Linked DNA regions of Drosophila melanogaster. The protein of the gene in region 2 interacts with the protein of the main gene of each other region in a pairwise test. Each region holds a gene or a part of one and is shown on either strand. Other genes may lie near its edges. The genes, in order: Tsp33B, CG34170, bves and CG6126.

Evidence for each region.
Region 1: the proteins of CG34170 (region 2) and Tsp33B interact in a two-hybrid assay, tested with the Drosophila melanogaster proteins (one large-scale study listed by BioGRID).
Region 3: the proteins of CG34170 (region 2) and bves interact in a two-hybrid assay, tested with the Drosophila melanogaster proteins (one large-scale study listed by BioGRID).
Region 4: the proteins of CG34170 (region 2) and CG6126 interact in a two-hybrid assay, tested with the Drosophila melanogaster proteins (one large-scale study listed by BioGRID).

The regions. Positions count from the first base shown.
Region 1 is NT_033779.5:11,789,438-11,796,391, forward strand, and holds Tsp33B (tetraspanin 33B), read right to left. Parts: upstream 2,929-6,954; 5' UTR 2,867-2,928; coding exon 2,114-2,866; intron 1,939-2,113; coding exon 1,831-1,938; intron 1,776-1,830; coding exon 1,656-1,775; 3' UTR 1,588-1,655; downstream 1-1,587. Other genes in the region: CG14932 (uncharacterized protein), read left to right, coding at 567-568, 622-678, 739-777, 835-873, 933-989, 1,046-1,499; CG14937 (uncharacterized protein), read right to left, coding at 3,194-4,509, 4,589-4,610.
Region 2 is NT_033779.5:17,309,346-17,315,184, reverse strand, and holds CG34170 (uncharacterized protein), read left to right. Parts: upstream 1-3,364; 5' UTR 3,365-3,425; coding exon 3,426-3,614; 3' UTR 3,615-3,717; downstream 3,718-5,839.
Region 3 is NC_004354.4:21,052,190-21,060,309, reverse strand, and holds the start of bves (bves), read right to left. Parts: upstream 6,348-8,120; 5' UTR 5,988-6,347; intron 5,765-5,987; exon of another isoform or gene 5,568-5,764; intron 1-5,567. Other genes in the region: Stt3A (catalytic subunit 3A of the oligosaccharyltransferase complex), read left to right, coding at 6,600-6,699, 7,084-7,412, 7,511-7,900, 8,107-8,120.
Region 4 is NT_033777.3:16,196,391-16,206,823, forward strand, and holds CG6126 (uncharacterized protein), read right to left. Parts: upstream 6,694-10,433; 5' UTR 6,444-6,693; coding exon 6,401-6,443; intron 3,505-6,400; coding exon 2,870-3,504; intron 2,808-2,869; coding exon 1,818-2,807; 3' UTR 1,610-1,817; downstream 1-1,609. Other genes in the region: sra (sarah), read left to right, coding at 1-525; CG31287 (uncharacterized protein), read left to right, coding at 7,045-7,203, 7,258-7,560, 7,618-7,824; mtSSB (mitochondrial single stranded DNA-binding protein), read right to left, coding at 7,924-8,146, 8,504-8,612, 8,671-8,758, 8,826-8,846.

The DNA.
Region 1 (6,954 bases), 5.5 Mb from region 2:
TAACTATATGTCACATTAAAGGATTGAATTTATTGCATAATTGTGGCTTGTGTTTTTGGTCGAGCTGTATTTATTCCAATTCCAGTTTCCTTAACTATTTAGTCATAAGCATGTCAAGTTCAATAAAAACGAACACCCAATATATAAAAACATTTCCAAAGGTGGAATTAAATTGTGATGGCTTGACTTTACATAAATATGTATAATTACATTTGTATTTGGAAGTTTGTAAATTAAGCCTGTTGTACAACACTGGTACGTCTTTTTATAGGAATTTAAACTTTTTATGTTTAACTGCCATTTTAAGGCTAAACTTAACCAAAATTTTAAGGCTCAAATTTACCAAAACCTTTAGTATAAATTTCTATTTTTACTAAATGTTAAGAACACGTGACTTGAGCTTTAACTGAATTTTATATATTAATTACATATGCTCCAGTAAGTTTTCAACAGTATTTTGATCAACACTGATGTTCTTATTAAACATTCCTTGGAGTGGACACACTGGCCGCACGGCTTTTCACATTGTCATTTTCCAGGAGCTAGGCGTTGAAAATTTGTTAAAAATGTAATTAAAATTAAAGCAGTTCATTAAATATATTGATGGATTATTCATTGCAGGTCCCAATCAAAGGTTCCTCATATTGTGGGCGATGATGATGAATATCAAGAAGCTACGTAAGACTTCATTAATTTAGCTTCAGAAAAACACTGACAATATATGTATTTCCTTTCTAGTGCTCCCGAAAGTGACGAGATTACCTGCGAGTCTTCTGTGTAAGTCTTTTTAATATAATGTTTTGATAGATTATTTTTAAGTTGCCTTATAATCAGGGAAAGTGATCAAGATGATGACTGTTCCAACGAAGATGAGTGAGTAAATTTAATGTTATAAAACAAAATCATTTTTCTTCATTTTGTGAACCTTTTAGTATGGATTTGGATGGGGCAGACTGGTCCCCATATGTCACTTATGAGGCGGGTACACCGTAAGTTATAGTTTCGTAATGTAGAACGTGGAATAACGGGTTCGGATTCTCTACAGAAGACGTCCCCACAGTGCTTTGGAGATTACCGAAATTACCGAGTTTCCGAAAATTCCAAAGAAAAACCCCACCTCACCCGAACTGGTGATACAGAAGCCAGAGACTCCGGATCAAAACGACTCGGGATCTCAGGAGCGTCTCACCTTCTCTCGCGCCAATAATGCGCTATCAGAGTCCATTGGAGCTCGCGTTTCCCAACGTAGCAGGGGCAACTTGGAACCATTCATCCGTAGAATGGCACGTAGCCCTACGCCCGAGGCCTCAGAGGAAAACGGCTCGGTATCACAAGGTCAGCTGCTGGCCAAGCCCGTGGATGTCACCGAGTTCTTTCACCGCATTGCTGTGGGTCTCGTCGAGCAGCGCGTCTGCTTGAAGCCTTTCTTGGCATTGCGCAAACATATTGCTCAACTGGTGGGTCAGACTTTGAAGAAATCCAAGAGGATGCGCCGTTAATCCATTTAACATCCAATGTTACAACATCCATGTAATAAGTATCCTATAATATCCAATAAATAATATATTGCGTTCACCGATTGGATATGAAGTTAACTCAAATTCGTAAATTTAATTAAATTAATATAAAATATAAAAGTAAAATTAAGCACAATATTAGTATCCACACGGTTCGTCGTCCATTTCGGTGCAATTGCAGTAGTTAATATCGGGAACGTTGTCGGATACCAGATCATCCTCGGCAATTGTTACACAGCGCACGTTACACGGATATTTCTGGGGAATGGACTGATTTAGGTGCTATCGATGGATAGTAAATGGATAAACCCACCACCACGACCAAGGGATGTCCATCATCGTCCGTGAGTCCCACATTATCGCAGCCATCGCCCTCGTTCTGCCGGTGAACTATGAACTTGGTCATACAACAAAGCACGATCTAAAAAGATGATTGACTTAGGGAGGTCTTATCTTAAAATACAATTTTGTTGCATATTCAAATTTTTTGATTTCAATATGACTTACGCTAATGAATTTGACAGAATTTAATGAATATGGCTCCAATATTCACCATTGTTCTGACTTTAAAACGTTGCCCATTACCAATTACTTACCAGAAACTTAAGGGCCAGGACCCATAACGCCATCAGGATGTAAAAGCAGTTCCACACCGCACTAACGAACGCAGGCAAGCATCCGTTCGCATTGATTGAGTCCACGGTGAGAGCGGGAAAAGGCTGCCGGCTATTGCCACCGATGGACTGCCCCTCACTGGGCAGGAAATTGTTAAAGCAGCTGTCGCAGGAGCGCTTGCAGCAGGCGAAGGGTGCCAGGACCATCGACGTGCAGTTATTCTCCCGCCGTGGCATCCACTCCGCGTTCATCCAGTCCTTGTAGCCATGCACCCCGCAGCACTCCTTGTGCCACTGCAGTCCGTCCCACAGGAGTTTCCACTCGGGACACGAGTAGTACATGTCGATGCCGCGGGTCAGCGAGGTGTCCGCCGCATTCTCGAGGACATCGACACCCCGGTAAAGATTCCAAACGCACCCGAAACCGGAGGCAATGATTACGCAGGAGTAGAAGGCCCACACGGATAGCAAGAGGCGAATGTTCGGCGTGCAGCGACGCCGCCAAATTCGCCGCCACATGGCAATGCTGCAGAGAAAGGTCACCACCACCTGGGCGCCAAACACGTAGATCCCAAACAGATAGCCGTAGACCAGGCGGCACTCAATATCCGATAGATAGCCGGTGAGCACGGTGTGGTAGTAGGCGGTCACCACCAGGATCAGCAGTCCGATCACGGCCTCGGTTATTAACAGCAGGTGGAGGTAGACGGAGGCTCGGCGGAAGGGCTGGCGCATTTGGTCATCCTCGTGGGCATCGATCCAAAGTTTGGCTTGTCGACGAGGTTTTAGCTCTGAACTCGAATTTCATTTGGATTGACGCTGATTGCAAGGACTTGGGTGTTTGAATTTTAAAGTGTACTACAACTTGAATTTAATTTTTTTTATCCCTAAGGGCAGTAAAAACAATGATGCATTGAAAAATCGCTTTACAAATATGTATATTTACATCTTTTTATTTGGTAAGCAGTTGATAAATGTATACACTTAACTATATTTCAGTTTAAAACCTTTTCATTTTGGAGCTTGATCAGTTGGAGCATATCCCACTCATGGGGCAGCGGTTTACCGCACAAAGCTAAACTTGAGTACGCCAGATGTGTAGTCCGTATTGGGTCCAATCTGTTTTGCATCCACCTTTATCAGCCTTATGTTATCAACGCAGCGCGAACTTTGAACTATTTCCGGATTGATATCGCTATGCCGGATCCACAGCTCTAGAGGGCGAATGCGCCAGCTTTGCTTGGCCAAAATGGCAATACACCTCCAGACGAAGGATTCTCCATGGCAGAAGGTTCGAGTGATGTCGAGGACTCTCAGCTGTCGACAATTGATCACGAATTCCAGCAGGCCCAAAGGACTCTCCAACTGATAGCCACACAAATGGAGTTCGGTTAGCTCACCCAGTTGACTGGCTAGCTGCCGCAGTATCTGATCCCCCAGGCACTGCACCTGGACGCCCTCCTCCTTCTCCTCCTCTTCCTCTGGCTGGCTGTGCAGCTCCAGTCGCGTCAAGTGACTAAGATTTCCCAGCTCCCTGAAGAACCGGCCATAGTCGTGCAAAACTCCACTGAAACTAAAGGCCTCAATTTGTCGGCCATCGCCGGGAGGACTTGTGGGACTAACTATCCTCGATAGGACATCAAAGACAAAGTTCCTGGAATAGATCGACAGCTTTCGCAGGTTTGGCAATGTCAGTAGTTGCTGCGTAATATCCGACTCCATACACACGTGGTAATCCGCAATCTTGATATGCTCCAGTGTGGGACACAGCTGCAGATCCGCCAGATCACAGCAGTTCACCTCGTCACAGTCCTCCATTATGTCAAATTTGCGTAGTCGCAGCTGCCGGAAGATGTCCCTAAAGTGTTGCGATTCCAGAAAATGGCAATCATGCAGGCGGAGATCGGTAAGCTCATCCAGGTCGCATAGGTATTTTCCGGTAATTTGGCAGCCTCTAAGTTTGAGGCTTTTTAGATTGGGAAATACCCTCTGCAGCATTCGCACATCCTCATCCACGAAGCGAACGCGTCTCCGTCTATACACATTGCCCAGCCACTCGAAAGAGTGAATCCTCTCCAGCGTGTGGTTACTGAGCAGTCGCAGTCTTCGGACATCCAACTGCTTGCAACTCAGGTGCTGCATGTGCGGAGCCAGGGCCAAGATGAAAGCCACAAACTGTCGGGAATTGGCTCCCGAGCGTCCGAACATCTCGTCCTGCAGGACAACGTTGCGAACACGGGTCTCCCAGAGCATGTGCACTACGCCCGCCAAGCGCCTGTTCAACCTGCTAATCTGGAACTGCTGGTACGTGTCCAGCTGGCGGATGATCAAAGCCAGGACATCGTCATTCAGCTGGAGCAGCGTTACTGCAGTGGGTTCTAAAAAGTTGAAGGACGATCGTCTTAATAGGCTCAGTTGTATTGTTTTTTTTTTTTTCGTTTTTAGCCAATTCCTTACCTGTATCGCTTGCGGACGTCATCTGCGGTCTGTTCTCGATCGTGGTACTTGGAATACTAATGAATTCACGCAGTTGCCACGGTCAGTAGTCCGATGCTACCTAGTGCGAAGGTCATTTAGGGGTGGGTTTCCAGGCAGATCGGGCGGAATTCGCGCTACCTAAACGACTTATCCTTTTGGAGATGGGAAAACGAAGCGATAGTTTTCGGGGTATCCCAGAGATACGAAATCATAATAATATCCTTAACCAAAAAATATAATTCTACTCAGGGTTACTCAGTTTCTTGTAAAATCCGGTTTTATGCTTATGCTGCGCGTTTTTGCTGCTCATTTATTTGTTTTGTTTAGTGCTTACTACTTCATAAATTTTAATTACATTTTACTCGTAACTTGTACAATATATACTATATATATATATATTTCATTTGTTGTCCAATTTCTGTCGTATAGGCATATATATTTTAGGTATATATAGTGTTGTATTGTATCTGATTTATAGTACATTATTGTTTCTATTTAGTATTGTTACTGTTTGTTGCTTTTAATGTTTACGTTAATTGGGGCATTCCAAGCGTTTTCTTCAGCTTCTGTTAATTTTTCTCCTAGGAAACATTTTTGCCGCTGTCCCAGCGTTTAATCATTAAGGTTAATGGGTATGTGTCTGTCGATCAGTGAGTGTGGGTTGTGGAGAAAGTTACCTCTATTCTCACGGCTTGCACTACGCAACTTACAAGTAAATTATTTCGTTTGTTCATTAATATTGCAACACAAGTGAATTGTCTCCATAAACTTGCCTTTCACGTACTACACATACATATCCGTTATATATTAGTCAATAATCGTACAATAATATATATCTCTATATGCATTCTATATACTGCGCTCTATACACATCACCAAAAATCCAAAAACACCCAAAAACTAACACGGATACTCAACTACATAATTATAGACGTGTGATAGTGTGTGTTTGCGACTTCGAAAACAATTATTTTCAGTGTGAAAGCAAAATACATGCATATCAATGATAATTTCATTTTCAATTTTCAATTGTTCCCTGCATTCTAAGTGTATTCAAAATGTGCACTTTGCTGCGATGATCGTGAATCAATAAAATTAGGTTAAATAAAACCAAGTTCTGTCTTTAAATGGTTAAACAAACAGTTTTACATTTTCCGTTTATTCGTGTACAGTTACAGTTTGTTAAATTAAATTAAAATTGTATTTTAAGCATTTAATTCTCGATAATTAAATGTATAAAATGTTGCATTTAAAAGGAAGCATAATGTGTGGGTCGTGTGTCTGTCAGTTTGTCTGTGTATTGTTTTCTTACTAAATTATTAAACTTTGACTCGTGTTTAATATACTTTTTTTTAGATTTCTCTTCCTTTTTTGTAAAATTTAAAGCAGATATGTTGTTGCTTGTGGCGCTTGGGGATTTCTCGTTAATTGTTTCACTTTCTTTTATTTCGTTACGGCTTAAACTTGTTCTTAATGTTTGTTGTTTTCAACACAAGCACAGTTAAGGGTTATAATTAATTTTAGAGTTGTGCCTAGTCGTATATATGTATATGTATGGGTTGTTGTTGTTGTTGCTTGTTAACTTTAATAGTGGGGTAATAACTTGTTGTTATAGGTTTAGTATTCCATATATCATAATCGTAATTGTAATTGTAATCATAATGATTGGGCGACGCGCCCAACTAAAAACTACTCGCACTCCCACGCGGGAACTCCTATCTCCATTCCTTCGATCCGTGCTTTCAATCATTACTTTTAGTAGTTCAACTAACATTAAATATAATAACTTGTTTGTTTAATCCCTTTTCATTATCTCGTTAGTTGGGTCTGCCGTTATGCTGCTTCTGTTTCCACTGTCATATAATTGTATATATATCTCATAATCATCACAGCCCCACTTTCAGGGCTCGATATATTGTAAACTGGGTTAAGGACTACACTTGGCCAATATATGTGAAAGTTTTCGCGCGTTAGCTCGTTATTAATGTTCCTCCTTGGAAAATGCAAAAATAATACAGTTGTGATAATAATTTTCGATAGATTTCCAAGGGTCTTGTTGCGTGTTATTTACAAACTATAAGTATATATTATAATTGTATGCCTATGCATATCTGCATATGTTTATGTATGATGAGGATGCTTTCTATGAATGTCGCTCCATATGGATATAATCATAACTTAGTCAAAACACAATAAAAATACAAGATGGTGCGCTTCTGCTGGTTACGGCAACAAAAACCCCTTAACTTTAAGTGTCTAGCGAGAAAATTGCCTGAGACGGATTGGTCTTCGGATCCATTTGATTCACTGAGCGCAGCTAAGGAACAATCGGATATCACAAAAAC
Region 2 (5,839 bases):
GGTATTATGTTTGAAACAACAATCAACTGCAATCAAAATAGAAAAGCCGCACAATTTTCCAGGCATACGGCACATGATGCAATATTTCCATAATTTTCCCTCTGACCCAACAGCACGTTTTTCATCTAGCTTCGAATTGTTGTTGTAGATGTTTTACATGCCAAATTATGCAAAAGTACAATTCACCATACATATTCAAATATTTTCGCCGAGTTCCACAAAATACACACGGACACTGATCCCACAATGTTCGCCCTCCCAATCGCATCGATTTGGAATATTTGAATTTTGGAATTTGCCTGTCAAAGTCCCAATAATGACATGTCACGCTGTGTTTTATTTTTTGCTCTATCTCTCGATTTATTTGTCCTGTTATTGTGTGGAATTTTCACTGGCTTTCAGTTTTATGCTGATTTGCATGGGGCGCAAGGTCAACGATGTTGCACGCAGCTGATGCGTATTTCATGGGAATTAAGTTTGATTTGATAAAGGTCATGTTTCCTGTGTGCCAGTGTCTGTGTTTATTCGTGATGATCTGATAACGGAATTTGCAATTATGACGAAACGTAAATGGTTTAAAGTGCTTTTTGAGTGATGGAAATGGGGAAAGTGTCGGCGGGAAAATCGGATAAATTGATTGGTCTGTTTTGGCATTGATAGATTTGCCGACATGTGTTTTTGTTCACCATTTAACTTGGTTGAATGCCTAATGCACTTATTTTGAATGGTATTATGGCAGTGTTTCAGAAACGAAAACCATTTTTGAAGTGTTTGTTATGTGTATAGTATCAATTAAAAGGCTGAGATAAACAGAATAATATGGGTTATTATTTAAATGGGATTGTTGTACCTCAAATGTAAAATTTAAATCGATGAAATAACGTTTATAGTAAATTAAATTTGTATTTGCTTTCAAGGGTATAAACTTATAAATTCACTCCCCCGACAAAGCGATTTAGACTTTGAAATTATATTAGGCAATCAGTAAACGTATCTTTATTGGCTTGCCAAATCCCATCCTTGTATTTCTCACCTCATCTCAAACTGCAAGCTTTCAGTTTGATTCCTGGTTATTATTCAGCAAATAATCAGGCAGTCAAACAGTTGGCATATGTAGAACAGTATTGGGTGCCCAACCGCACGGTATCACCTGGTCAACCGATTTCAACGACAATTCATTCAAATGTCGACCATTCTGATGGCCCTCGGTTCCTGGTCTTTTGTCCGGGATCCTATATGCCGGATCTCCTATTCGCTTTGGCTGGCCAAAAGACCATTAAAGCTATTTTTTCTGCCCATTCAGCATTCAATAGAAATTTACATCACGTCGAAAATTTTTACATACGCATGTGTGTATATGTCCTTTGCTAAAAGGACATTTTGTGATGGCCAGAACGATGGGACTGGGTGGGGTATGTGGTTATGTGGTGGCGAAAGTCGCGTTGAGCATACTAACACTTTTTTGTATGTTTGCTTAGCTTAGGTTTTTACCTGGCAAAAACGCAGCAGGGGTTGGGCATCGGATTGTGGCAGCCTCGAAGTAACAATAATAAAAGCCGGGCGGAGGGAAACAAAATTGATGTTCCCTGCTGCAGTAGCTACATACATATATGGCAGGAAACTATATTGCCACATAGGCAATTTCATTGTGCGATATACATATATTCTGGCAGATATGTTAGGGACCCTGAGCAAATTGGTTTACCCGGCTTACCCTTTTCACACAACTTTAGTTGAACTCCCACTACACAACTGAAAATAAAAAGGTAGTTTAAGAAGCTAGTTTGCTTATAATATATGGGATATGTAAAGCATTGATAAAAAGTCAATTACAAAGGTTTTGTAAATGTAATTGTTGTAATTCGTAGCACACTTTTACGCATACAAAATTTCCAACAACTTGCCCCTTTTAGTTAAATATTTAATTAAATGTTGTAATGCAGTTTAACATATACATTTTCACTCAAACTTTGTACCACCATTTTGTTGCCTTCCAGGTAGAAGAGGTAAAAGGGGGAGTGGACCTTGAGAGAGTTGCACAATTTGCTAATTACCGCAATCAAAGTTTTCTTGTTGGGCAGCCAAAAACAGCTTCAAAAGCACAAAACTGATAAATTATAAATTAAAGGGAATCTCAGGAAAGTTGGCTCTTTCCCTATCTTTAGTTTACACAGCGAACTGTTGTGAGTATTCCCTCGTTTTTTTTTTTTTTTTATGCTTGGATTCGAGTGCATAATTTACGAGTTGAGCTCGCTGCCAATATTTCAATTACTCTACGGCATTTCGAGCAGTCTTCCTTCTTGCCTCCCTATCCCAGAAGCAATTTCAATTGAGCTTAGTGCTTGCGGAGTACTCTTTTCGGTAGGCGGTTTTGTCTCAGGGCGAAATTAGTGGCCAAAACTGCGGCAGATTACAGGCCAGGCCAAGAGCGAACTTCAAACAATTATTTGGCCAGCTGGGCTGGGAAGCTGGCTTTTAATTTGCTTAGCCCCTGCCCATGAATAATGCAATACGAGAAAGAAACGAGACCAAGAAGAATTTTTGTATAATTGCAGGGCGCACAAAATTTCGCTTAGAATCTCCTCGGGCCACATAATTGCTGAGTGGAAAGGGGCGGCAGAAAGTTAAATGTAAATTAAATATTTCCCTCGTCTTTTCTTTAGCAAAACGCAAGTTTTATCCGGCTCTTAAGTCAAATATTCACCTGCTACAGGAAGGCCAGTGAATTAACATGAAAATGAATGGACTTCAGGTGAAATCTTTATTACAAACAATTTGCGGTGTCCTGCGAATACAATGGTAACTAAAATAATTATTTTGAGAAGCTCTTTTATAATTTCCCGAAATATTACGTTAAATGTAAATTTTTGTTGTTTTTTATGCAAACAATTTAAGTATATACACCAGTTCGTTTTTATTTCCAGTGCCCATAATAAGCCCCGTTTCAACTGCTATTTGAAGGCACGATTGCATCGATTAATTATGGCTGTCATCGTGTAAATTGTGCTAAATTATTATTATCAATGTTGTTGGCCTGATGACAAACATTCAATTTCGCGAATGTGTCGCGCTCGACGGACACCCAGGATACAGATACACAGGACGACCCGTTGAAGCGGAGCGACCAAATTGCAATTGTGATATTGACAATAATGCAATCAAATAATCAATCAATTAATGTCTGCTTGAATTAATGCCGAATATTATGTGCTATCGTCAATGCCATCATTAGCACTAAATTCAATTACGTTGCAGGCATATCCTGTTGCCCTCCATGATGATTCATCATTGTTAGCGTACTTTTCCGATGAGGCACGGCGTACACGAATCCTAATCCCAGGAGCCTGTGGCCCACACATTACTCTCGGCCTTTAGAAAAACTTCAAAATTTGTGGCTTAAATTTGGGGAGCCGGAAAAATATTCCATGGCTGGATCACCTGGCGTTAAGGATAAGCTGAATCTGATTGTTGGCGGGGACATTTGCGAGGTATACCGGGATGGATTCAATTGCGGATCCTTTGGCTTCTGGTGCGGACTCGTCGGATTGGCCGTCTTCATAATTTTTCTCGCCTACTTTCATATAAATCGGGAGCGAATAGATCCGACGTCATAATCCCCCTAAATGTGGACAATTCTACATAAATGTGTCATAAATAAAAAGTAATTTAAAAAAAAGTACACATAAATCTTTTGATTTTGTTAAAAAAAACCCTTTTATTCCATTAAAGATTAAAGTTGGATCCAAAAAAAAAGTTGTGTAATGCATTCATTAGCGTGTTATATATTCTTTATGAGCTCTCCTTCACATACAAAGCTCTTTGAGTTGTCTCTCAAATGAAATCCCGTAATTCCGTCAATCCAAATTGATATTTTTATTCATCAAGCTCGATTTTCATGAAATTCATCCTTAAATCGTTGTTAAAAATGCATGTGCATATTTTTCTGCCGGCTCTTATTACCATGCACCTACATATTTATCACTGCTTGATGGACCCAAAACGGATGCTATGTAAATTTTTACTCGGTCGATACATTTGACAGAGCTCATATACACTCTCGTATATAAAATGCCTCAACTTCGTTTGATTTATGCATCATTCACGCGCAATTTATCGTAAAAATTACAAAAAAAGTTCAGCGCATAAAAAAGAAAATGGAAATTCACGTTTTTCGAATCTACAGACAAAGTGCACTGGCGTTAAAAGTCACGGGGGTCATTTATTGGGTAGTTTATAATGCAGTACAACATAACTGATTTCCAATGTTGTTTACTCAACTTACAAACATTTTGATTTACGTGTGTGCGGCACAGATATGTATTGATATATTGATATATATATATATATATATATATGTTCACGTATATCAATAACATCACCAGCAACAACATTCAACAACCAACAATAATAAAGAGGCTGACGGGCAGGCAGGCGTAAACCGAATCGTGTTTATATATTTACTTAACTTTTATGGTCCTCCCTTTGCCAACGTGGAAGTGTATTTGATTATGACAAACAAGTACAGCACGGCCTAAAATTAAAGTATTTGTTATAAAATTATAACAATTATACTATATAATTATAGTTCAATTAGTATGTAATAAGAAGATGCGCTTTAACCATCAATTTATTTATAATTTGAATTATTTTAGGGATTTAACTTCCAGTTGTAAAATCCCATTCGTAATCTAATGTTTTATATTTGTGACCTGATTTAGGGACTCAACGTATTTAAACATTTCATGCACAACTGTACGGAGGAAAATGCATACATATGTAGCGGAGTGGGAAAAGCGAAGTCAAGGTAGCGATGCATAAACAAATATTTGCAAAGCACAAAGCCAAAAAGTGGGTGGTGGGCGGAAATTCAGGGGATGTTCAGTGGGGATTAAGTGATGCCCGCCAGAAATGTCATATTGCACCGAAGCGTTTGGGTTAAAATACCACTCGTTTGTTAAGTGATTAACAAATTACGTTTAGGTATATTTGAAACAGTAAATATGAAACAGTAAATCGTGATGAAAAATATTTAGGCACACTTCTTTAATAAGCGGTGACTTTTAATTAAAAACTCTTTTAAAGAATTAAATTTTTCCTATGGATATTGCAAGTTGATCTACCTTTTCACTCTCTTCGTTCGTGTATCCTTTTCTTTGGTTGTTTACCTTGCACTTTTAGTGCACCTACCACTATTCATCGATTGGCCATATTTCTTGTTATTTTATTGCTCCTTTTTGCCTCGTGCGTTTCATCTTTCATACGCACTCGATATTCAGGCAATCCACTGAAAGTGCCATCATCATTCGTTCCATATGCAAAAGCCAAATAACATTCTCGCAATTCCGCCTTGTCCCCTATTATTTCTGCCTCGGTTTCGCCTTTGGTCCTAGCCGGCCATTGTTAAAGGCTTGTGGTCGCCTCCTGCTGTTGCAACTTCAGTTGATGCTGCCGCTGTCAAGCTGCCAGGACGTGGGACTTAAGAAGCCGCAGGATATGGGCCAGTCCTCCAAAGTCACCTACACTAGGAAAGAGATAGGTCTCAAAATGTACATGATTTTATAATTAAATTTGAAATAGCTCGTAAGTAAAGTTAAAAAATACTTTTTAATTTTTTATTGAAATTCGGATTTATCTTTTATATATAAAGCTTAATGTAGATACATTTACAATTTAAATATTTATAGGCAAGCATTTACTTAGCTTAGTTACGATTTAGTCTCAATAAAATTTAAGCAACTATAAATTAAATAAAATAAATGGAAGAATTTGATTCACAGGGCCTATTTTTTCCAAGTGTTCGCCTTTTGCTGTCCTTGCTAATGAAACAAAAACAGACAAG
Region 3 (8,120 bases), on a different chromosome or scaffold from region 2:
CAGCTGCTAGTGAATGCCCCAGTTCTTGGAGTGTAGCCACTCCTTGAATTATTACTCCTTGAGTAGACTAGGGAAAGGATATCAGATGACGGACTACTTATTACAAACAGAAATGTACATAATGCAATTCAAAAGAATTATATTTTTACAGTTTGTTATTTATTCTCTCAATAAGTATTTTGTTATTGACTACTGATATTGATATTTATAAAACACATTACAGACCTCAAGAGGAATTTAATACAATACTGATTAGTAACAAAGGCGCTGAGTACTCATCGGAGTTAAAGTAATTGTTTATAAACATTTAATATGATTATGAATCTCGGCTGACTAATAGTACATACAGATGTGGACATACATACAGTATGTAGATATGAACTTTAGCGACTTCTTCTCGTAACTTCAGATCACGACGCACCCAAAATTCCGTATAAATTCTCAGAAACCCGTAATATTGTATATCATGCGAAAATCTACAAAAAATCTAGGTAATCGGGTATAAATCATAGCAAAATCCACTGAAATTCACGGAAGCAAAGACTATCTGCAATGTTATTTTTTTATTTTATTTTTTTTTTTTTTCGGCCGACAGAGATCCGCACAACCTGTTTCCGACTCGACCAGGCCAACAAAACTTGGCCAAAAGCACTCCAGAGAGTATATACACATATAGAACAAAGCAAACAACGGGTGCGAGTTTTGTTTGCTGACCCCAAAAAAGAACGCCAGCCGAACAAAAAAAAAAAAACACTAAAAACACTGGGAAAGTGGCCAAAAGTGGGCGAGGGCATGGTCTATACGGTCCGTGGTCCCCATATAGTTTATGGTATTGGGGTTGGTCTGGTGAGTGCGACTGGAAAACGAAACATTTCCGGCCTGGACATGAATAATAAAACAAAGCCAACGAGCAGGAAAGATAGTGTGAAAAGAAAAGGGAGAAATTGTGGATACAAGAGCGACAAAGAAGGGCATCGAAATAATCAATTTGATGTCGCAAAGTTCGTGGTCGCCCATGCACTGGAAGAAAAAGAAAAGCCCAGAAGATAACATTTCCAAACTTTTCGACAATGCCAACTAAAATAATGTGAGCATTGACCCGATCTTGATGGCGTCTTGATGATGTCTTGACCTGATCACGATGGCGATACGATATTCAAATTCTAATTTACCATAACATATCTACGATACAGGATTTTCTCTCAGTGTGATTATTGACAGTGGTCAACCAACCGATGACAGGCAGTCAGTCTGACGTCCACGATGATGATCATAATGCGCTAGTGATGTGGACTGTTACTCAACACTTTGCATATTGACTGCACTGCCACAATGTCTTTGGCGTGCGCCTAATAACGATAATGATGATAGCGGCGCAAGTGACACACATCAGTCACAAAAACAAACAAGGCCAACACTTCCTCGTCATTATCATCAACTCTTCGGGGGTGTGCAGCAGCAACACAAAAAAAGCAATGTAAATCAGTTGAGTGTTAACGAAATGCAAATACCCTAAAAACGGAATGAACATTTACCACCCAGAATAGAGAAAAGAGTGCTTGTTCTTGGCCTCGGTCAAAGAAATTTTTAAAAAACGTTGGCCTATCTATTCTATTCCGAATATCTACAGCGTAGCAAATGAAGAGTTGTCCGGTCTTGAATATCGACGAGCGCCACCTAGCGGAGGATATACGTATTACTCATATTTCCTGACGTCGTTCTAAAAATCTTCATTTATTTAAAACTTATTTTTTTAACAAATTCTTTTGTTCTTTTTGGTGATTAGCTAGCTAGTTGAAGTATAGGTAGATGTTTGGAATACATATATTAGATAGAATTGGTAGAATTTGGCCAGAAAATTAGGAAAAAGCATTAATAGGGGGGGCGTTCAAAATTTAAATTTCAATATTGCACTGCACTGTCACTTGAATCTGTAATCTAAGTCCAAATATTCCAGATCATAAAGTTCACGTTCATACGGACAATCAATAAATTGCTTATGGATAATACAAGCACAATATAATTCAATTTTTTATATTTTATGGACTTTAGGTCCGTGTTGAAATAACAATTTTTTAAGATATGTGCATACATATTTATGTATATAAAGTAATGTTTATAATATATGGTGATTTTGGTTTGGTTTATTGGTTTAATGCTTTCTCCCGAGCGCGCCCAAACTCAAAAACTCCAAATACTTTCCATAAAGGGTATATCCACACCAACGCACGCACACACATTGTGTGGCAACAACAAAAATGTGGGCAGAGAAGATGAAGTCATCGCTTTGTTGCCTTGAAAAAAAAAAACACACACACATACAACACGAAAAACAAAACAAAAAAATACAAAACAACAAATGCAAATACAACTAAGCGCGACTTCGCTTAAATTTAAGTCCATAGCCAAAAGTAAAATGGGTACAATGCGAACGAAGCAAGATTCAAAAACTAGAAAAACACAAACAAATATGTAGTACAAGTGAAAGAAAACATGAAACTACATTTAAAAATAATAAATAGCTATAGGTGCAACTATGAAATGACCTGCATAAAAGTTACACTTACTATGTTAACTAAGAGCTCAAAACTAACCTAAAACATTGAGGAATTGAATAAAGACAATGACTTAAATTAGGTTTAAATAATGCAGTTAATTTTCAAAGTTTTTACGTTTTTTAATTTCGAAGAACGATAAAAAAGACAACTTAAAAGGAAAGACTTTTCTTGCGAAAATCCCAATAGTTTGCGACTGATAACTGCGAGCAGAAAGGAAAAGTCGCCGGGTGAAAATCATGTGAAATAGGGTGGGTTGAATGACATGCCAGTGGCCAATGACGATATCGGAAAAGTGTGGGTTTAATGGCCGATATGAAGTCCCTCTTGACTCCCCCAACCCCATTTTTTCACGACGAAGTCATCGATTGCCTTTGTCCAGCAATTGATGTTTGCTCAGTGGCAATCATCGTGAAATCGTCGTGGGGGGCATCATCTAATGAGAAATGGCATTTGGCTATTACATGTAAGCGATTTTTTGTTTGAATTTCCCTGCAAATGATTATAATTATGGAGAAAGTCGCGGGTTTTATAGATGAGTATTATCAAGCGAAATGGAAATTACCCTTTTTCAGCAAGGAGAAAACTATCATAGGAGGAAATACAATATATATTTACTAAACGCAAAAATTCCCCTTGGACTTCCGATTGGACTTATGTACATATGCATGTACTTCGAACTAAGCACTCTGAATGTTTAAAAACATAAATGCATTAAAATTGACTTTAAAAATAAAGGGCATTCAGATATCGATAAGGAGCTATAAGGAGCTAAGGCGCCCGCACAATTCCATATCTCGCCCGATTCTAATTGGTGTTTGGCCCGCAGACAAATTGTGGTCGTAATCCAATTGGAAGCGGAACTTGTATGGCAACAATTGGAAATGAAACCGGCGATAGAAGGGAAAATACGAAACGAAAAACAATAAGAGAGAGAGAGAGAGTGAGAGAGAGAGGGCGAAAAAGGGAAGATCAGACATTAAAGTCATAAGCTTCGTAAAGGCTTAATTACGTGGAATTAATTGTGTAAAACACAACGCTTGCAGCATTTCTTAAGATTCCTCGACTGTTCCTTTGTTATTTGTAAATTTTAACTACTTTGGTGGGGCAAGTGGAGACTGGTGAGCCGAAAGTGAAACGGCGGCAACTTTTTGCTGTCCTCCGTTTTTTTTTTGCCCCTCACCACCAATTTCCGTTTCCCACGTGTAAACAAAAATAATAATAACAATAACCAGACAACAGGCAACATTGTCTCGCCCTATATGCCATATTAAATTTTACATCGTTTTTATGGCCCGAAACGGGCCAGCCACGGCAAAAATTGTGTAAATTATTTTGAGGCGAAAGCAGAAATCGAAGAAAAAATAAACAAAAACACTTAATCACTCAATGGCCATTTAAATGGGTTAGGAAATGGTCGACATCAGTATACTATACATGCAATATTGATGGATTACCTTACTCTAATGGTCCACTAACATTTTCAGCTAGCTCTTAGTGATAGGAAATTTTCAATTGTGAATATCAGTTATGGAGTACGAATTTCATCCAGAGCCGAGCACTGATAAGAAAACATTTCTATAGTTCAGTGTTTTTGTACATAAGGTCATTTATCTTATCGGAATGCTGCCTTAGGTGCGATATCAAATGGCTTTCAGTTATCCAACTGTTTGGATTTAGATAGGTTTTTAACTTTACGGTTTGTTTAGACTTAGAGAAGAATTTGCAAAGCAAAGCAATATGTTATTTATACATATATGTAGTTCTCAGATTTTTCTACCAAAGAATATTATTCTCAGTTCATAGCAAAAATACGCACCAGTTATTTTTGAAATGCATAATTATTTTTTGAATAATTCGTTCGTTATTTTTGGGCTCTCATTTGAATTATGAGACTTTTGAATTGCATAGCAATGTCTTTATTTATCGCCTCAGATCTTTGAAGTGGAATTCGGGAATTGGAAACTCATTTCAGAGCTATTCTCCCCACTGATAAAGTATTTTTGGACCCAATATATTTTTAAATAGAAATTTTAAAAACGAATTTCATCCCCATTTTCCCCTTCTTCATGTAGTTTAGATCTTTGGAAAGATCGTTAAGTTGGAAGTTACGAAAGCAATTCATCCCAATTGGGTCTCAAAATCGGAAATGAGAATGTCACTTCATTGATTTTTTCCTAATAGAACACGAGTCTAACTTCTTTTGTTGCAAAATATTCGATTTTTGGGAGCTTGGATAATAATAAATAGTAGTTCCCCGATCTTCTCTCTCTCCCTCTCGTTCTCTCGCCTATAGGCACACAACTTCCATAAATATACGCACACACAAACACACACACATAGAAGTTGCATGCCAGAAATGCCATGCAAATGCAAACACCCACATACACACATTGAGAGAGTGGGTGGGGTGTGAGTGAGTGGTGGGCCGAAGGAGGAGAGAACGAAGAAGCAGATGCAGAAGTTGGAGTTTGTTGCTTTTGTTTTCCTTTTCTTCCTTTCCCCTACCCCCCTTCCACGCCCTCCCATCATACATTCGATTTCCTTCTTCTTCTTCTTGAATGCGTGCTGGCAACTGCAATCGCTGCCTCTGCCGGCGTCGCTGCCCCCACCCGCACGCACACAGTGACGTCCCGATATATACACATACATAACACATGCATTTTTAAAAGCGTGTTGATGTTCGATTTTTCACCATTCTTGCTGCACTTTACACACAAACAAACACTCGCCATCGTTATTATTTAATTACTTTTGGCGCGGCTTCAATTAAAAAAAAAACAGCAACAACAACGCTGCAAGTAAATACACACACACACAATACATATGCAAATATCTATGTATATATTGCACATAACAAAGCTGCCACTAAAAAAAATCAACGATTTGAACTAGCAAATCTCATACACGCAAATAGGAATGGGCTTGCCCATGTATTAGTGAGAACAATTTCTTAAATATTTGACACGTGAGTTTTTCATTGTTTTAGGTACAAATTTTTCTTCTATTTACCAGCAGAAGTCAACTTGTATTTACTCCGATTCGCGTTTTTTCGGGGATTTGGTTCTCGTTTCGATTGAAAATACATATATTTCGGATATGTGATAACTATCAGTAGTTTTTCAGTGGAAACCGTGATTTTCCTGCCCGGCGATTCATCCGATGTTTTCTTGTCATATTTTGTTCGAGATTTTTTTAAAAGGCAATGAAAACACGAAGCAGCGGTGCTTTTATATGGGAAATATATGGCAATTTAAACGGCTGTAGCTCGCTCTCTCTCGCCCTCTCTCTCACTCGCTCTCCCGCAATGAAAACGAATTTCGTGGTGCACAGTGGTCGCAATTGCATACTAGCTGACAACTTTTTAAGATTGTTTACATTTCCTTGATTTATCTGAAAATTGTTACATTTTTCTTTTTTATTTGTGCTTACGGTTGCTTTGGCGTAGTTGACATCTTTGGTCTAAACGTATTTAGACAACTTTTGGTAACTTTCTAAAAAATAATAATCGTACCCCACTGTGTGGTGGTTGAAATGTGTTTTTCGCTCTCTGCTCACTACTCGTGCTCGCTCCCACGGAGAGTCGAAAACAGCTGGGATATAAGCCCAGGAACAGCCGGTTATGAATTGCCGATTCGAATACCAGCCGTGCTTTTGATGACTCACTAATAGTAACTAATCATAAATCGAGAATTAACTGCCGAATAAACCGCAAATAGCAGCCAAAAGAAGTGGTTAAAAGGGAAACAATAAAACCCGCCAGCGGTCAGAGTTGTCACCCCTATTACCGATAGACCGGCGATAGCACGCGATAATCGATAGCACTCTCCGCTCTTTGCCACGAATTGCAAGTTTGCGATCCCGTCGCATTCAAGTTTCAGCCATTGTTTTGTGCAAAAAGCTAAGTAATAGTGCTTCGGTGGGGCAAAACAAGTAATCCTGGACATCCGGAATTCAGTCAACAACTCGCACCGGTGACTTAGGGACTCTTGCATCGAATTAAGCAGCGCCGAAAAAAAGCCGGCAGGCGGAAGAGCAAGGAAAATGACGCTGGACGTGGGCGGCGTCGCCAGGGGACTGCTCACCTGGGACAAACAGGAGCACCTGGTCAAGCTGGCCATTCTCATCCTGGCAGCGGTTTTATGTGAGTAAACAGCGCTTATTCGGCATTAGCCGAGTGGGCGTTGTGAAAAGGTCAAACATTCGCATCTGCTGCGAGCTTCTTCGCTATCGATAGCTTGATGTGCCGCCGGCACTTTATGGTGAAATTACCCAGAGCATATAATGGCTTAGTTACGCAATGCAGCACTATTATTCCTTATTTCCTAGCTTATAAATTCCTTGATTTGCATTTGAACAAATGCATAGCTATAAACATCTTCCGATTGCCATGTTGTAGAATATCAACTTGCCAGCCCTGCTAGAATATCGATAGCTTGATACACGCTGGCATGTGCCATCACTAGCTGCTGGTCTTCCTCTTGCCATCGCCGATTAAACTTCCTTTTCCTCTTGCATTTCTGGACAGCATTTGCCACACGCTTGTTCTCTGTGCTGCGATTCGAAAGCGTAATCCATGAGTTCGATCCGTACTTCAACTACCGCACCACGCGGTTTCTGGCGGAGCAGGGCTTTTACAAGTTCCACAACTGGTTCGATGACCGCGCCTGGTATCCCCTGGGCCGCATCATCGGCGGCACCATCTATCCCGGGCTGATGCTCACCTCGGCGGCCCTGTACCGCCTGATGTGGCTGCTCAATGTGACCATCGACATACGGAACGTGTGCGTCTTCCTGGCGCCCTTCTTCTCCTCGCTGACCACGCTGGTGACCTACGCCCTCACAAAGGAGATACACGTAAGCCACCGTCCCACCGTTCTTTACTTTTTTTTTTATATCCTTTCGAGGTTAAAATTCGCACGTGGTTCTTATGATCCCCCTTTACCCCTTTTTAGAGCACTGGAGCTGGACTGGTGGCCGCCGCTTTGATATCCATCGTTCCCGGGTATATCTCTCGATCCGTGGCGGGATCGTACGACAATGAAGGCATCGCCATTTTCTGCATGCTCTTCACCTACTATTTGTGGATCAAGGCGGTAAAGACGGGCACGATCTTTTGGTCGGCTATGTCGGCATTGGCCTACTTCTATATGGTCTCCTCGTGGGGTGGCTATGTCTTCCTGATTAACCTAATCCCGCTGCACGTGCTGGCGCTGATGATCACCGGACGTTTCTCGCACAGGATCTACATAGCATACAGCACGCTATACTGCGTCGGCACCATTCTGTCGATGCAGATCTCGTTTGTGGGATTCCAACCCATCCAGAGCTCCGAACACATGCTGGTGAGTGTAACTACTTTGTGTAATGCTGTGCAGTGTAGCGATGTGTGATCTGTTGTGATGAATACATTTTAAATTCTTGATAGGAAGAGTATGAAACATAATGAGTACCAAAAACCTAGCTGAATTGGTCACTAAAAGAACTCTAATTAAAGAATTACTCGCTATATCGAAAAGAAGGGAGTGTAAATCGTATTTTTCTCTTGCAGGCACTGGGAACCTT
Region 4 (10,433 bases), on a different chromosome or scaffold from region 2:
ATCGTGACCAACATCCACTCCGAGGTGTTTGCCAATCCAGAGCTGAAGCACGCCATGGAGGAGTTATTCCGCACATTCAGCGAATCGGCTACGTTCCAGTGGCTGCGCAGCTTCCGTCGCCTGCGTGTTAACTATGACAATGCCATTGCGGCGGCAAATGCGCGAATCAAGCTGCACCAGTACGAGTTTAACAAGAAGACGGTTATCACCTGCTACTTTGCCCAGCCGGTGACACCGGTCAGCAACAAGAACCTGCAGCCACCGGCGCCGGTCAAACAGTTCCTCATCTCCCCGCCCGCTTCGCCGCCAGCCGGCTGGGAGCCGCGCGAGGAAGGCGAGCCACTGGTCAACCATGATCTTTTGGCCGCGTTGGCTAGCCTCACACCCGGCGAGTCGCACGAGCTGCATCCTCAGAGCGAGGACCAGCCGGCCATTATTGTGCACACGGCCATGCTGGCGGAGACCGGGCCGGGACTGCAGGTGAAGGCGCCAATTGTCCAGACCAAGTGCCCGGAACGGGCATAATCATAAGGTGGTGACGAAACTAAAGCTGAAAACCTGAGTTGTAAAACCAAACGATCGGGACAACGGGTTGGGACTCATGCTCTGCGGATGGTTGGGGCTTCGATTGAGTATTTTTTGTAAATATTTTCCGATTCAATTGTGATTAATTTACACATACATATATTTAGCTACGTTCGTATGTTTGTATTAATAGGCACTCGAACTCCCATACCCGACATACTTTCCCACCCTTCCTTCAAGCGTAGCATTTACCCCAGTTGGCTTCTGATACAAGTTCATTGGCTAACAACCGCATCTAGATGTGTTTATCTCGCGATTTGAGTGTGTCTATGTGTAAGAATATTGATGTTAAGCCATCGCAAATACCTGCTAACAATATCTACATATATCTCTGTGTACCTTCGACGGGAAATCGCTGACAGAGGCGCTACCGAGAACCGCGATCCGAAATCCCAGATATAAAGCTACTATATCTATGTAAATGTTAATGTAATTCTAAGCCAGCGAAATCGTGTAACGATATCGCATCAGATATCGGCATACACATACATACGTTTATAAATCTATATGCCTACGTGTAGTTAAAATTTAAATTGAAAATATATTCAAATTCGAAATGAATGTTCTCAAATGTACCAAACAAAACAAAATGAAGAATTACCAAACAAGAAACAAAAACCGAAAAACCAAAACTCTCTCTTTAAACAAACTTTAATTGGCGGGTTAAACATCATGTGGAGCAAAGGGAAGCGATGGGTTATGGATTTGACATTGGAAATCCCTGTCGGCAATTGGCAATTCGATAGTGCAATTGAGTGGAAATTACTGAAACTTTGCAAGGCCAGACGAACCCGAATTGGCTGTGTCGGTCGGAGAATAAACTTTAATTGGAAATAGTTGGGAAATAATTTTTTGGTGTGTACTGGTTTTACCGTAGAGAAAATTGAAATTCAAGCTATGAATCTGCGCCTAAATTGATAGAGCCTAAAAGTAGACAACACTAATCAGTAAAAATGCTCGTCAAGCATTTAAATTTCCTTTAAACTAAATTTTACCACCGAAAAAATTAAAAGAAAAAATCCGTACAAACAACAAAGGGACACTCAGAAATGAGTGAATCCACAAATTAGGATTCCCCATATTCTGCACATCGTTTTATTCGCTTGGAATGAATAGAAACTATTAAATCTTACTACTAGGCAGAAGAGTAGAATTCTTAACAAGAAAACACAGGGTAACAAGGAATTTAAGCTGGATTTTGGACTTGGGAAACAATCGTCTTTGGCTAGGTTCTACTTGCTCTCGATGTTCTTGAGCGGCACCATTTGCTCCGGATCGTCGGGATATACGCTATTCTGGCGCTTTTTGCGACCAGCACACTGACTGAACCAAGTATCTCCCTTTCCGAAGTTCTCTCCATCCTCAATGGACTCGGGCATGGGCTGGTTCATTGTCTCCGGCAGGAACATAACCCAGAAGCCCGAGATCAGGGCCACCACGCCGAACAGCACGGCCGGTATCTTCGGATCAAATGAGTCCAGCAATGTAATGAGCGGAGTAAGGGCTCCCGACAAACGGGCACACATCGATCCCAATCCCATGGCCGAGTTCCGCACCACGGTGGGAAACAGTTCGGCTGAGTAATTGTAGATTACGGCAAAGGAACCGGCGATGAGGAGCTTTCCTGCCATTACCACCGCCGTGGAGGTGGTGCTGCCCTGGGCAATGTAGGCGGCCACAATGCAGCATAGACCGCCACCCAACATCAGGGTGGAGGTGATCGATCGACGACCCAGGCGATCTAGGACGAACACAATGGTTATGTAGCTGGGGAACTCCACGAGGCCCATGATGAACAGGATCAGGTAGGGATTTCCATACAGCTTGCCGGCACTGAGCGATAGTCCGTAATAAACCAGAGAATTGGCGAACCAGCAGAGGCACACGTTCAAAGTCTTCATCCTCAAGTTGGGCGTGCGGAAGAGGTCGCTCAATCCGGCGCTGGATTTTTCTTCGGCCGCCGCCTGCTGTTTGGCTTTCTGCACATAGTACTCCTTGTCCACCGGGATGCCCGATCCGTTGATTCTCAGGCCCTTGGCCACAATATCCACCGCCTCGGCGGCACGTCCCTGCATCCACAGCCAGCGCGGAGATTCATCGAGCCACCACCAGTGGCCCAGGAACAGACAGCCATGCAGTCCGTAGATCACTTGGAGCCACTGGCGGTCAGGGATGAGTGCTCCCCATCCGGCCACCAACATGATGCCACCAGCGAAAACAGCCTAAAAGTATTGCATGGTATAGCCAGTTTAAAAAATGCAAAATCTATTGAAGTCTTCCTCACCTGGAAGGTAATGCCGCACACAGTACGCTTGGTAGGTCCCACCAGTTCCATGGTCAGCACGAACCCACAGATGTAGGCACCCGCTGATCCCACAATGCCCAGCAGGTAGCGAGCCACCATGAATGAGAAGTACTCGGGAATGAAGGCCACACCCACACCGATGATCAATTGGAACAGGGCCGACCAGCAGAACACGGTTTTCCGACCCACTTTGTCGGCGAGTCCGCCAAGGGTGACTGCGCCTGTGAACACGCCCAGCATGAACACGGTCTGCACAATGGCTCCCATCCAGCGGCGATCGCACACAAAGTTCCAGTCGATGGTGCGCGAAGTCTTGTAGTACGTCGTGTCGTATACGTAACGTTCGCAATTGATGGTGGTATTGGTGCCAGGACTACTGGGATCGAACATGAGGCAGGACTCTAGCTCGCCATTGGGCTTCAGCGGAATGGCGGCCAGGATAGCGCTCGAGTTCCATGGTGTCACCGACAAGCTGCTGTTATCCACGCCCTCGATGAAGCAGCGATGCTCAGGCACGGCGGCCACCGTGACCAGCGATAGCATGTGCATGCCAGCGGTCAGGCCGGAGAGCACCTGCAGGAAGAACTGCAGGAACTGGTACTTTCCAAACTCCCCTGCAATTGGATAGAAAAAAATAGAAAGACATTTCACAATCATTAATGTCTTGGGAAAGGTTATGAGCGCACAACAAATGTGAGCTTTCAGCAACATGATAGATAGTGATAATCTGTAGCACCCATGAATCACCCAGTTTACGATTAAATATAATAAAAAGAAAGTAAGTTGAGCTGAAAACGGAAGTTGTTCTAGCTCAAATTATTTAAAACGGTTTTTTATTTCAGTATTTGAATTTGAACATCACGTAGCTGCGATAAAAACACAACCCAAAGAAACAGCCGACTTTTATGTAGATGGGAACTTTTAATGGGTATCGCTGGAATTGTCGTCACTCCAAAGGCTTTGCAATTAAATCAAGTGGAATTTATTCAATTCGATTTCAATTGAAGCGCATTCGCCTAGCCCGTCAAATATTTGCCCACAGTTTGGTTTGGTTTGGTTTTGGTTTCGAACGCCATGAAAAGAGACTCGGATGTCTTGGGAGAATGCACTGAATCGATTATGACTTGGCTGGTCAGTCAGTCCATGGCGATCGCGTTGATGGGAGGCCAGGGGCTGTGTAAATTTCTAACGACATGGACAGTATGTAGCCTAGATACGAGAATTTGACACTTGATCACGGTCCAATGTTCAATCAGCCGTTTCAATTGATTTGTGGGTTACGTTTATTGATCGTTTAAACGAAACTCTTGCCATCAAATGAAAAGTTACGTTCACCCCGGTTACGTTGCAATCGACAAATCATGAGTAAAACGTCTGAGAATTTTCATTTTTCATTATTAAAACGATTGCGTGAAGTGTAAAATTATGTCATCGGGTTGACTTAATTAATCTCAATTATAAAATTTGACTCTACGCCTAATGAAATTCAATTACGCCCCCAATAGACATAATCAGCGTATAATTGAGCACAATCTAGGAAATCGATTGGCCAAATTTGTGATAACTAAACTCGTAATAGTAAATACTAATGTGGAACTCATAGCGGATTATCAGAGGCCACCAAATGCTAGATCATATATCAGTGATATTGTTGCTTCAGATTTATTGCATCCGTCCAATATAACTAGCCGTATAATTGTTGCCAAGTGGCCCTTGAATACGACATTTGTTTTTGGCCCTGTCAATGTTTGTTGTTCTCTTAATCGTAAGCCATCTATTATGATGTACAAAACCAACAGTTTGCACATTAAAATGAATATGGCGCAGGTTTGGACCGTTGTTTATTCTGGGCAAACTTTTTGAGCGATAAGTGAGATGGATAAGAACACGGAATATTAAAAAATAATGCAGTCATATTTCTAACAATATTGCACATGTATATTAATCTACTGTTATTCTACTATCAACTGTTGCTTTATTTCAGAGTTGATTTCTTCAAAGCTTTTAAAATTTCCTTTGTGCTTAAGTATCATGATTCGAATAATTGAGGTAGATCATGGTTTTACACCTCCACTTTAAGGCTTCCTTCGGTTTTTGTTCATCCGTACTTCAACATTTTCACTTCCCGCGTTTACTAACAACTGAAGGTCGATTTAGTTCTGTTCTGTGCTCTCCACATAGCACGTGTGGAAGTGCTCTCAAAGTCATTTTAAGTTGCTGGTTTTATGGTAACCTTCTTACGTACAAATAACAACCAACTCAGCAATGCAACACGCCTCCAAATTCGAAGTAATTAGAGTTGCTGCTCGCCAATAGGCCTTCAACAAAGTAAACAGAAATAAAAGAGCGATATGTGAATTTTGATGGCTGAGGGAGGTATTGCCATATAGTTGAATGTGAGCAAACCAGTTTAAGGTTTTTTGCATTTCACAGATACAAATGTATGCGAATATATTACGAATAAAAAAGTCGCTAATGCGATTATTACTCCCTCTCTCCTGTCACTTTCTTATAGGCTGCGGTTTTGCGAATGCTTAATACAAAACCAGTTTCGGATTGTAAAAAACTGTTCTATTTTAATTAACGACAATTTCAGCACAATCGTTGACACAAATTTTATATTCCAACTCATATTTTATGTGACTCATAAATTTCTAATTTGTAGCCGTGACAAATAAAACTGTTTATCCATCGATCTTCCACTGTATTCCCACAATTAATCTTAACTATTTTGCATACTGCATATAAACACGCTTAATTTTGTAGCTTCCACAAGCTAGCTGCAATGTTTGAACCGCACAATTAGAGTATATAATAAATTATAAGCAAATACCCAGATATCCGTAGATCCCAAGATCTTTATGACGAGCCTACTTCACAGTCTTGTGACAGATACCGCCCCTTTTGCACCCGTTTTATTTTTGTTTGCCTGTTAGCCGCCACACTCGTTTTAGCGTCACTGTGCTAAAGCCAAGTAGGCTCAACAAGTGTCAGACAGCCTCCAGCTCAGAACTTGGCCCACACGAACATGTGTCGACTATATGTGTACATAAATACATACTTGGTATGGTATATAGTCAAAAGGGGAGCAACAGGTCGGAGTCTCTATCAAGCTGTCATAAATGTCTGTCACTTGGTGGCCTCGACGATTTATTAAATTAAGAATAGTGCAAAATGAAAATGAAAATAGTTGCAATTAAAAAAGTATTATAGTCGGCTTCTTTTGAGCACTTGACGTGACGGACAGCCAGCCGGATAGATTAGGCGGAGATTAAAAGCATAATACGGAAAAATTAATTATAGATTTTAAAAGCAGAACAGAAGGTTGGGCGGTAAACCTCATTGGTCGTCGTGAAACAAAATATTATCCATAGTAGCTTGCAACGCTGATAAGACCTCTCAAAATGATAAGCATAACGCCAGGCTCTTATCAGCACGGGATGGAGACGCCTGGCAACGTAACAGCTGACCTTTCAAAAGTCTTCGCTCCCAAAAGCCCATTCCACTCACCAAGTTTCCCCATCAGGTCCTCCAGTACATAATCCACAGCCATGTTTGATTTTTTATTGATAATCAAAAATAAATGAAAGTAACTGTTTGCTATTGCTTCTTAACAAATCGTCATCTTCTGCAGAAGTGGAGCATGTATGAATGGCACACCAGTGCAGCACTGCTGATAGTTACGGGTCGCGAAGATGCAAAACGAATCCGGGATAAACAACGTGCTCGAGTGAAACAAAATCGCAAACGGAGCGCTCGATCAGCTATCAACTCTTCCGACCGCCGGCAGCATTTGAACTGGCAAAAACTAACTGCGAACTGTGTCGCTCAGCGAGAAAACTGAGTGGTAAATGGCGATAAGGTCGCTCCAAGCTCGCGAGCGAAGAGAGCTTGTGGAGGTCTCCAAAGTTGGGAACTAAAGAGCAAACTCTGCTCGAGGGTAAGAGCTTCAAAAACTGTAATCACCATTATAATCCTTGATGTATGAAAATAAATGATGCCTCTTGGCAAGGATCCCTTAGATTAGAATACGATCAGAAAACTCATACCTTAGCAAGCTTTGATTTGCCTAACACTCAGTGACAAACAAAACATAAGTCACAAAAACACATACAAAAAATACATAAAATTCATTTAAAGTTAATTTTAAAATTATGTGTGAGCCAAACTTATCAGATCCGTCGACATTCCTGTACTTGGATATGCTGGCGGATATTTTAATGCAGGACAGCCTTGAAATGGAATCAGATTTCAATACCAAGTTAAAATTTCTTAAGGAACAGGAACAAATTTGCCTAGACAATGCCAAAAATGTGAGACTCAATGGCCATAGGCAAACAGGATATAAATTTTTCATACTCCAACAGGCACTTCCCATCGATGATACCCTGAGATCAGTAAAGTGCACCATGCTTAGGGTAGAAATGGAGCTGCATGAAAACGAGATTAACCTTATACAGGCGGAGAAAGCAGTTACGAAATTGGAGCAGAGCTATCCGAGTCCTGAGAGTCTGGCAGGCCAAGTGTTTCCTTTGGCAAGTACCACATATCAGGATTTGCTGAGTATGCTGATGTCTTCGAAAAAAACAGTCGATCATTGCAATCAGATCAAAGAGGAGGTCGCGACGTATAATGAGCAGATATCCGCAAAAGTACCTTCCGTAAATTTGGTATGAAATGATGACTAAAAGTTGTATTTAGAGTTTCTAAAGTGAGTGTATCAACAGGTAACCAAGCTTATCGATTACCACAATAATACACTGGAGTCTATGGAAAAAAATATCGAAAAATTGAAGAGCCAGGTCACACAAGTTCAAAAGGAGTTCGAGCAGCTTTATAACGAACATGCACGCCAATTCAACGCACCGTTCCCATGCAAAAAGGTCAAGGAGTTAAAACCAAAAGACACATGTGGAGTACGACTACGCATGTAATCTGATAACACAATATATCCAACGAATATTATAAATGCTTACAATGCTGCAAGTTCAACTTTTCGCTTAAGATTAGGTTTGGTGATCTGGGCTTAAATTTTAGTTGTTGGCATCACGGAAAAACAACACATCGTCGGCTATGATACTGGTGCTAGTCTTCTGGTTGCCCTGCTGGTCGGTGATCTCTCCATAGGTGATCTTTCCCTGCACCATGGTTCGCTGTCCCTTCTTCAAGTATTCCAGCACGGTGTCACGCAGATTGGGCTTGAACACCACTACACGATGCCAGTCGGTGCGTTGGGCCCAGTCGCCGTTCTCATATCTGTGGGGAAATATTTAAGACTTCATGAATGCTTTTTAAATGAAATGGTAGCTATTTTCTTTATGAAATCCGGCATTTCATGGATCCTAAGAAGAAATTGATCACTGAAGTTAATTGAACAAGGAAATGTACACTATTGCCGTTATCATTAGGTAATTACATACAGCAAATGTTCTAATAACTCATTACATAAATCTGAATTAGCAGCTCAACGTGATATTTTCTTGGAGGTTAAGGCTAAGAACTAACTTAATTGTCAACATTTATGTAGCTTTTTTATTTCCCTCCTCTGAGATGTGATTTCAAGTTCAGTTGCAGACGCATGCTGGGCGGCAAAACGCACACAAATGCACTTACTTGTAGTTGGTGTGTGTAGCAACCGAAAAGGTGACCACCGGATGCTCCTGGGATCCACGCAGCTGCGGATCGGCGCCAACTCGTCCCAAAATGGTCACCGTGTTGACAGCTGTGGTTATTTATTCAAAATTAATTCAATTTCATAACTAAACCTAAGAAATACTCACTTTTTTCAACTTTGGCGGGAGCCGCTGCCGTTGTTGTTGTTGCCCCGCGTGCCGGCAAATTTCGCAGGCCGGTCAACAGAGGATTCAGCTAAAAAAAATAACATGTTTGTTCATTGTATTTTGCAATTTACCGGCTTTTTAATAATATTACTTACCATGCGCCTTGTGTGTTGCATCTTGATTGTATTAATAAAATATCGATGTATCGATGATATTTACGATATGTAAACTTTTATCGCGATAGTTTTTAATACGAAATATCGCATATCAACATTATTTCTTATTTTATATATTGACTTGAAATGCTACTCGCAAGTATATAAAAAAAATGTTTTTTTATTATTATTTATTAATTTTGGTGTATAAATCCGCTTTTGGAGATTGAATTCGCCACACGGAGTGAATTCGCCGCATATTGTCCCTTGCGGAATACAAAAGAAACTATCTAGTTCAATCATAGGCCAAAAGAGGACGTTAGCGGTCAGCTGTGTATAGTTCAAAATAACAGCCAAAGGTGGCGATGATACTACATTGTATAGTTGCTTATTTCAACCAAAAGGTGGACGCACACTAAGCACAACTGATAGTAGGCAATTTCCATTAGTTCACCATCTCAATAAGCAAATGCTGAGGGCGCCACTGTGACCTCTTTGATTAAATACTTAATAAATTAAGTACTTATTTCATTTAAAATAAGCTAAGGGTTAAGAAAAAGAAGAAATATCAATGATTTCATATCAATGTAAGTTGAATAAGCTGGACATGTAGTGTTTTCGGTACAATTATAATGTTTAGAAAAATAAACTTTATTTAAATTTGTATGCACGCAAATTGTTTACATTTTTCATAATATAAGAAATTTTACTTTAGTTCCCCAACCCCTTAATTTGTTTTTTATTCAAGAATATACTATCAAAAAAATAGTATACAGTGTGCATCTAAACATTCACTCAATAACGCAAATATAATGCACAAAGATTTCAACTTTACAACCTCGAACAGGATGCAAGAAAGACAGCTTAAGCTCGCTCCAACCACGAGTAGTCATCATCTTGGCTTTTTTGAAAATTAGTTACCGGCTGGCGGCTTTGTTTGAGCTGCAGTTGCTGAGGAAGAAGAGCGAGCGGACAAGTGTCCGTTAGTCGGGTGCTAATAAAAACCTGGACACCCGAGAGGCGTCCCCGAAACGGAGCGGAAGAACAGAATCACCATTTTTATATTCGCATTGCTCTCGAGCCGATGCTGCTGCAATTGCTGCAGCATCAACAGCAACGACAACATCACAAGCAGCAGCAGCAGCAGCAGCAGCAGCAGCAATTGCAGCAAGAGCTCTCTGCAACTCTCGAGTTTGCATTCAAATTCAGCTCAGGCGATGAGGATGACGACACACAGTCCGCGTCGATGTAGCTGCCCCAAGAAAATCATATTGCCGTCCAGAGTCTCTTAACTGCCCTCCATCTGCGTCACTCGAGCAATTCTGCGGAGCTGATATAATGCTGCGCAGATATCGCGGTGGATTCCCACTTATTAATCATATCGCGATATGTTACTGCAGAATTTACTGTATTCTAGGAAATTTTGAAATGGGCGTGTTACATATTATTTCAATCGGATCGAAGTTAAATTTTTGAAAATTGGGCCGTTATTGCTATAAGATTTCTGTTTTCGAATATTTATTCCGTGAATCAAATGTTTGTATCTTTTTATACATTCCCAAAAATATTTTAGTTTTTCCCCCAATGCCTATATATTTATATTCAGTT